Arabidopsis thaliana: one gene and its partner. The protein of the gene in region 1 interacts with the protein of each later gene in a pairwise test. Each region holds a gene or a part of one and is shown on either strand. Other genes may lie near its edges. The genes, in order: RTE1 and CB5-A.

Region 1 (3,929 bases):
CCCACAATGGGGCGATTCGGACTCATACCGGATCCAGAAACGTATCTTTACTGGCTTTTACTTCTCTTCCCAGCCTCATCATCACTTTCACTTTCACTTCCTGTACAATGTACATACGTAGTCCTAAGTTCTTCCCTCATTTATTTAATAAAATACATTTCTTTATGTTCCACTTTCTTATACGTATAACATTCCATTTGGATGATGTGATCACCATCGTGGTTATATTTATGCCATATGATCTCTTTGAAAAAAGTTTGAATTCTTAGGATATTTATTGTTTCATTTTATAATTAGGAAATTTGGCAAAATAACCATAATTCTAGGTTTTATAAACAAACTGACTGACAACATATAGGTTCTGAATGGTTGCATGTAGAGTAAAAAGTGGAAGTGAAGGAGACAAAAAAATTTAGTGAAAGAAACAACCAAATATTAAAGGAAAGGAATCTAAATTTTGAAGTAGTTATTTTTTCTCTCTCCTTTGGGTAGAGTTAGATTTTTTTTTATAAAAAAAAGCTTAATACCAACTTGAACTTCCTTTCCAAAGAAAACTAGGAACTTGGTAGAGTTAAAATTTAATTTCACTTTTCTACATTTTGGCCAAAAAAAAACAAAAAGCAGTTCTAACCAATGCTAATCTTTTCTATTTTAGAGACACACATTGGAACAAAATCAACTCTAAAATAGTGAAAAAAAATAAAGGTAGGACATGGGAGATGCTCTTATGTTTCTGCTAATTTTTTCAATTGCCACTAATCAGACTTGTAGCATTATTCTACTAAATATCAGATTGGACATTAGATCACCTATACTAAAACCATCTCCAATGGTCACCTCTATAAATAGAGGAAAATATAGAGGTCATCATTAGAGATGCCCTAAGTCCTTGAACCAAAACCTGTATTTCCTCACAGAAAATAGATTTTCTGTATAGCCACATTAATTCATTCTAACTAGACTCTCACTGAATCTTTGAGAGGACCAACCTCATAATGATTTTTTCCTATCCTATATACTAATGCTTGTTTTTTTTTTTCTTCCGAAAGGTGATTAAAGGAGCATATTCTCATCGAGCCCTGTTCGGTTACCTCTCTAGCAAACAACTCATCTATCCTACGCTTTATCACTATTTTAGAGCACCTGACATTTCTCTTAAGAACAAATCAACCTTGTAAAGCATATGTGGCTTGATTCAAAAAGACAAACACTAGTGATAGACGCAAGAACCCTAAATAAAAAAAGTTTTCTAGATTCTCAAAACCGTTAGGTCTGACAGACATATATAAACAATTATCGAATTGTTATTAATTAATACGATGTCACTCTATACCTATAATAGAGATTAGGGTTTCCATGTGTTCATTTATCCAACCATAATTAATAACGACAACGGTAATCAATAAGACACATTAAGATTGATCGGTCAAGAGTTATGAGTTTCATAAGTCATCTCCAAATTTTGCGGAAACTAAATATTTAAACATCGGATTCTCTGTTTGTCAGTTGTCAGATCATCTGACTCGCATGCACATGATTCGTCTCAAAAAGGCAAACACGAATGATAGATGCAAGGACCCTAAATCAAGAAAGTTTTCTCGATTCTTAAAACCGTTACGTCCGACAGAAAAACATAAACAATTGTCGAATTGTCATAAATACGATGTCACTCTATACCTATAATAGAGATTGAGGTTTCCATGTGTTCATTTATCCAACCATAATGAATAACGACAACGGTAATCAAACACGACAAATTAGAAATAATCGTTCAAGAGATTTGAGTTTTATAGATTGACTCCAAATTTTACGGAAACTAAATATATAAACATCGGTTTCTTTGTTACAAAAAAAAAACATTGGATTCTCTTCAGTATTTGAGCTTTTATTACTGAAAATACAAATTTTATAATTTCGTAGCTCTGGATTCTGATAGTAAAACTGCAATTGAGAAGGATATTCAAATATTTCAAAATTTTCTAGTAAAACTGCAATTCGTAGATCTTTTTTTTTTGTTCAAAGTTTTGATAAAGCAAACGTCCCTTTTTCCTTAAAATAATTAACTTAGTATATAATAATAAAATTAAGACAGTGCAGTAATTGATAAACAACCAAAGGTTCATTGTACCTTTCTCCATTGTCTTCAATGAATTCCTAAAACTAGAAGAAGCGTTACTTTAGAAAACCAATTATAAAAATCTCCTCTTTCTTCATCAAATTCCACAAAGCATCAGTTTCTTCTCCTTCTCCAAGCTCTCGCATCACTTTCATCGATTTTTCCTCTCTGCGTCGATCCTTCAGACATCGGCGTCGGAGTTTCCGACAGGTAAATGTAAAACACAGTCCACTGTTATTCCCTGCTTCTTAGCTTTCCATTATGATTTTTTGTTGTGATTTTTACTGTTTTCTACGGAAATGCTTTTGATGGGTTTTGTTTAGTTTCCGGTGAAATTTACAGAGAAACCCACAATGCTGAAAATCTGAATTAGGCTCAAGTTAGGAGATTACTACACAATTAGTGCTGTGAGAATGAATATACGGACATGCTTTGTTAAAAAGATTGAAACTTTTGCTTCATTTTGATCAAAAGATTTTAACTTTCGATTCTTTTAGTAAATGGGTCGCTCTTTGTTTGGACTATAATGATCAGACTGCTCTTGTCTTGTGTGATTAGGAATCTAAAAATGTCACGTGGAAGAGGAGTTCCTATGATGGACCTGAAACGAAGTTATGATGTTGAAGACAGGGTGGTGTCCGTGTCTATACCATCAATAATCGAAGCTGATGAGGCTGATCTGTGGCCACTACCTGAGATTGATACCAAGAAGTCGAAATTTCCTTGCTGTATAGTTTGGACTCCTCTTCCTGTTGTCTCTTGGTTGGCTCCTTTCATTGGTCATATTGGACTTTGCAGAGAAGATGGAGTCATTTTGGACTTTGCTGGATCTAACTTCATCAATGTTGATGATTTTGCATTTGGTCCTCCTGCTCGCTATCTCCAACTCGATAGAACCAAGGTATTAGTATCTGCTTCTTTATTAAGTAGAATCTGGTTATGCATGGACTTTGTTAGTTTTGTATCAAATTATAAGAACTTTTTAATCTTTATCAAATGTGTGTGTTTGTGGCAGTGTTGCTTACCACCAAATATGGGTGGACATACTTGCAAGTATGGATTCAAACACACCGACTTTGGAACAGCGCGTACATGGGATAATGCACTGAGCTCGAGCACACGTAGCTTTGAGCATAAAACCTACAACATCTTCACTTGTAACTGCCATTCGTTTGTTGCAAACTGTTTGAACCGTCTTTGCTATGGTGGCTCAATGGAGTGGAATATGGTGAATGTTGCTATTTTACTTATGATCAAAGGGAAATGGATCAATGGTTCATCAGTAGTCCGCTCGTTTCTGCCATGTGCTGTGGTCACGTCTTTGGGGGTGGTGCTTGTCGGCTGGCCATTCCTCATCGGTCTCTCTTCGTTCTCGCTACTACTCTTTGCCTGGTTCATAATTGCTACTTACTGTTTTAAGAACATAATTACTTGAAGCAGTATGAGAGAAATATAAATATGATGTATCACCAAAATTATGTTAATCTTAAGAATTGTTCTCTTTTCCTTTCGGCACCATCTAGCTTTCAACTCCAAAATTATGTTAATCTTAAAAAATTGTTCTCTTTTTCCTAATCCGTAGATTATTTAGAGGTGATGTGTCATAGTAAAGGAAAAAAATATACATATTCGGAGGCCCTTAAGAAAAAAACATACAATATCCAAATAAATGTATTGTTAGGTATTAACAAAAAGAAAAAATATTGTAAGATCTTACAAGCACAAGCAGCAACCATATGAGTTGCATCTAAATTTGCTATTTATATGGAAAAAAGAAGTTTCTCCAAAGTTGTACGATATCAGCTATGTATTT
Region 2 (3,929 bases), on another chromosome or scaffold:
TGCCTGTTTCATCAGTATTACTCAGGACTGTTGGAAATGAAATCTATATTTTGGTGTTGAGCTTTGCTACAGAAGATAGAGTTAGGACCCTGTTTATGTACAAGATGTCAGCTGAGGCACCAAGCAAAGGATTCCCGTCTATCATTGGTCACACTCCTGCCATACTCCCCATTGTGGATGACAAATCTAGTGGAAATGTAAATTCATTAAACTTTTTCGTAGTTTCTTCTCTTAAACTTGTTTTTCCTCTCTAGTTATCTAATAGTTGTTAGTTGTTACATTTCGTCAGGGAACACTCGAGATATCTAATTTGCACTTCACTCCAGACGGGCTGCATCTTATTTTAACTGGCAACATCAAAACACCTTATTGCAGGTTTGGACTCTTTATTGTTTCATATGGTACAGAGATACAGAATAAAGATATTAGCTAAGAGATTATTATTTTCCCTTTTTTGCAGGAAGAGGGAAACTGATTGCTCGTGTTTGATTTGTACATCAGCCTGTTTTGAGGAGAATGCAGTGAGGATTGTCCAGGTGAAAACTGGTCATGTTTCTCTTGTGACAAAACTTCAAGCAGATGACAGTGTGCAGTGTGTGGTGGTGTGCGATCCTAACAATCTCATTGCAGCTGTTAAGAGTGGAAACCTTATTGTCTGGGCCATGAACTCGCATTGGAGGTACTCTCATCAGAGTTCATTACTCTTCTCTTAAAATAGTTGTCAGATCCTTCTTCTATTTGGAGCTATTGGATCATCATTGGAATTTTTGCTAATGTTCTTGTATCCTTAATTTGCAGTGGTCCTACCGAAGAATATGTTATACTCGCAAATCCTTGCATATCATCATGCATCATGGAACTGAAGAAGATACCAAAATGTCCTCATCTCGTTATTGGGCATAATGGTATAGGAGAATTTACAATATGGTATTTTGCTCCCTCTTTCTCTCTCTCCCTCTATCTTTAGAGTTTTTTTCTCTGCCCATCTCTTTGTTAAATTACAGAACACTATCCGTGCTAGGGAATGATGAGGAGCAGCCAACTTTGCTTGATCTTTTTCTTCCTGTCTCCATTGTTTCGGCCTGCTAACTTTGTTTATTATCGATTTAGGGATATCTCGAAGCGAAGCCTAGTATCAAGATTTGTATCTCCCAGCAATTTGATCTTTGAGTTCATTCCGACGAGCTTGTTTGCATGGCACCCTGTACATAGTCATTCTACAATCGAGGATAACGTTGACATGATTTTAGCTGCAACAAAATTATGGTTCTCAAAAGGGGTCAACAACAAAACATTGGTTCCAGCTGAAGTCAAAGACACTGCTATTTGGCTTTTAGTCTCTACTGATCTTGACTCAGATGCTAAATGTGACCGTGTAGAAAGTCCAGTTAGATGTTGGAGACTTGCTCTCCTTGTGAAAGACCAACTCATATTGGGAAGTCAGTTGGATCCGAGGTATTATCACACATCTCTTTCTTTACATGGATACTGTCTTTCTCAGGCTCCTCTGGTTTCTCCATGTTCCGAGAAATTAGTTTTGCTTTGGGGATTATATGAGAAGTAAATGGTATATGAATGGTAACATTTCTAAATCCATGGTTCATTGGCTATGGATTTGTGGTTTACAGGGCTGATGTTGCCGGTACAATATCTGGCCATGGAGTAGCAGGCACACTTGATGGACTTGTGTATATGTGGGACTTATCCACTGGCACTAAACTCGGCTCTCTCCATGATTTCAAAGGTATACACTGATTGAAGTTTTAACTAGATATATCCATGAAAATAACGAAGTCAATTCTCAAAAGTTAATATTGTTACATGGATTTTGTCAGGTCAAAGAGTTTCATGCATCAGTACTGATGATTCCAGAAATATATGCATAGCAAGTGAAGATGGTCAGCTCCTAGTTTATTGCCATCCGGAAAAGTAAACTCAAAATCAATCAAGGAGGGTAACAACAAAAAGATGTTTTGCCAAAATGACTTCAATTGGCTTGGTTACATTTTTAAGTCAACTAAGTTTTTATGCTTGTAAACTTTTACCATATGGCTTACAAGTTGAGAATTTTCTAATCTAGTTAAAAAAAATTGTACGAAGATGTAAATGATAAATGATGATAAATAAATCTTTTATGTATATTCGTTGCTACAACTTACAAGGCATTTCTGATTTCTCAGTAATTTTTTATTCCATTTTTGCTAATTTTCCAAAAAGGAATTAAGAATATGAAATTATAAATAATTAAATTAAACGACGTCGTTGCTGAGAGGGCTCTAGCTCTTATTATCTTTCTCCTCTAGTCTGCTCATCTTTTCGCGTGGTCGACCAAACCTAAAACCCCCAAAAAGAGAAAAATCAAAGACCATTCGCTATTTCGCTCGCTACTCAGTTTCAGAAGAAGATGCCGACACTCACAAAGCTTTATTCCATGGAAGAAGCCGCAACTCACAACAAGCAAGATGACTGCTGGGTCGTCATCGACGGCAAGGTCTACTCTTTTTCTCAATCTTCTAATTTCAATCCTTGTTCATGTGTTTGTGAATCCTGAAGTTTCCTTCGCTTTCAGAAACCATATCTGTGTCTTGTTGCCTATAGAATCTAATGAAGAATCTTGTAATTGCTGTTTATATGTAGTTAGATTGAGCTAATCAGAATCTTCTTCCTCTTTTTTTTTGTTGATAATGTGTTGACTTCACAATCTTGGTCCCCAAGAAAATGATATGGCTGATGCGTTCTCTTTACAGGTCTATGATGTATCCTCTTATATGGATGAGCATCCTGGAGGAGATGATGTGCTTCTTGCTGTCGCAGGTAAGCTTCTTCTTCTTCCTCTTGCCCATCCTTGCTAAATGACTGATCTGTTGTTGTCTCTACTCTAATCCAAGTAAATGTGATGATGTTGTTGTTGAAGGCAAAGATGCAACGGATGATTTTGAAGACGCAGGGCACAGCAAAGATGCTAGGGAACTTATGGAGAAGTATTTTATTGGCGAGCTAGATGAATCTTCTTTACCGGAAATACCTGAGCTTAAGATCTACAAGAAGGACCAGCCACAAGACTCTGTTCAGAAGCTTTTTGACTTGACAAAGCAGTATTGGGTTGTTCCTGTCTCCATTATCACCATCTCTGTAGCGGTTAGTGTCTTGTTCTCTCGCAAGACTTAATAAGTAGTAGTCTCTTTCTTACCTTGATATGCTCTGGGATATTGAATTACTTGGGGAATCAACTTTACACCCCCATTATAGATTTTTTGAATAACAGATATGATAGAGAGATAATTGTTATTTTTCATTTTTATCAGATTTTGAGTTGAGATCATGTTTCAATACACTTATTATCGATATGATTATATATGATTAATGGATGGTTTGGTTTGCTGGTATCAATCTTTTTATTAGAAGAAGTCTTTGCATATCGTCCCTTTTGGTAGCAGATAACCTCGCAAAGCCGACGTTATCTATATAGCATTGATATTATGTAGTATCTGTCGATTTGATTCAGAAAGACCAAAAACATGTACCAAAATATCTTCCTTGCTTGTCCTTTTAGTATATGTAACTGAGAGAGTATGAGACACTGGTGGATCTATGATCATATAGCGATGAGAATATATTAGTTAGGATTGGAAATCCCAATTCCTGAAAGTTGGTAGCTCTATCTCTAGGTTCCAGTTGAGAAAGCCACTTCTTTGTAGAATTTCTTTGCTTTGTATTGGTACATGAGATCTCCTCTCAAGTTCATGCAATTATAGGACCTGATGTATCGCTAATTGCTTCTGAATTGAAATTGTCCACGGTCTATAAGACCAGCCAGTACCAAAAAGGGAATCCTGCAGGTTAGATCTTGTTGGTTCTGGCTTCTGTTGATGATAATGCTGGTGGTATTATGGTCTGCGTCAGCTTTGTCTAATTCTTGCAACAACACT

The links.
Region 2: the proteins of RTE1 (region 1) and CB5-A interact in a two-hybrid assay, tested with the Arabidopsis thaliana proteins (one study listed by BioGRID).

Annotation. Positions count from the first base shown.
Region 1 is NC_003071.7:11,105,363-11,109,291, reverse strand, and holds RTE1 (protein REVERSION-TO-ETHYLENE SENSITIVITY-like protein (DUF778)), read left to right. Parts: upstream 1-2,103; 5' UTR 2,104-2,326; intron 2,327-2,674; 5' UTR 2,675-2,684; coding exon 2,685-3,551; 3' UTR 3,552-3,687; downstream 3,688-3,929. UniProt on the Arabidopsis thaliana protein: Acts at an early step in the ethylene signaling pathway. Positively regulates ETR1, leading to the negative regulation of ethylene responses.
Region 2 is NC_003070.9:9,111,588-9,115,516, forward strand, and holds CB5-A (cytochrome B5), read left to right. Parts: upstream 1-2,276; 5' UTR 2,277-2,404; coding exon 2,405-2,491; intron 2,492-2,747; coding exon 2,748-2,814; intron 2,815-2,914; coding exon 2,915-3,168; 3' UTR 3,169-3,390; downstream 3,391-3,929. Other genes in the region: AT1G26330 (DNA binding protein), read left to right, coding at 1-197, 290-375, 461-679, 799-927, 1,111-1,455, 1,629-1,744, 1,836-1,933.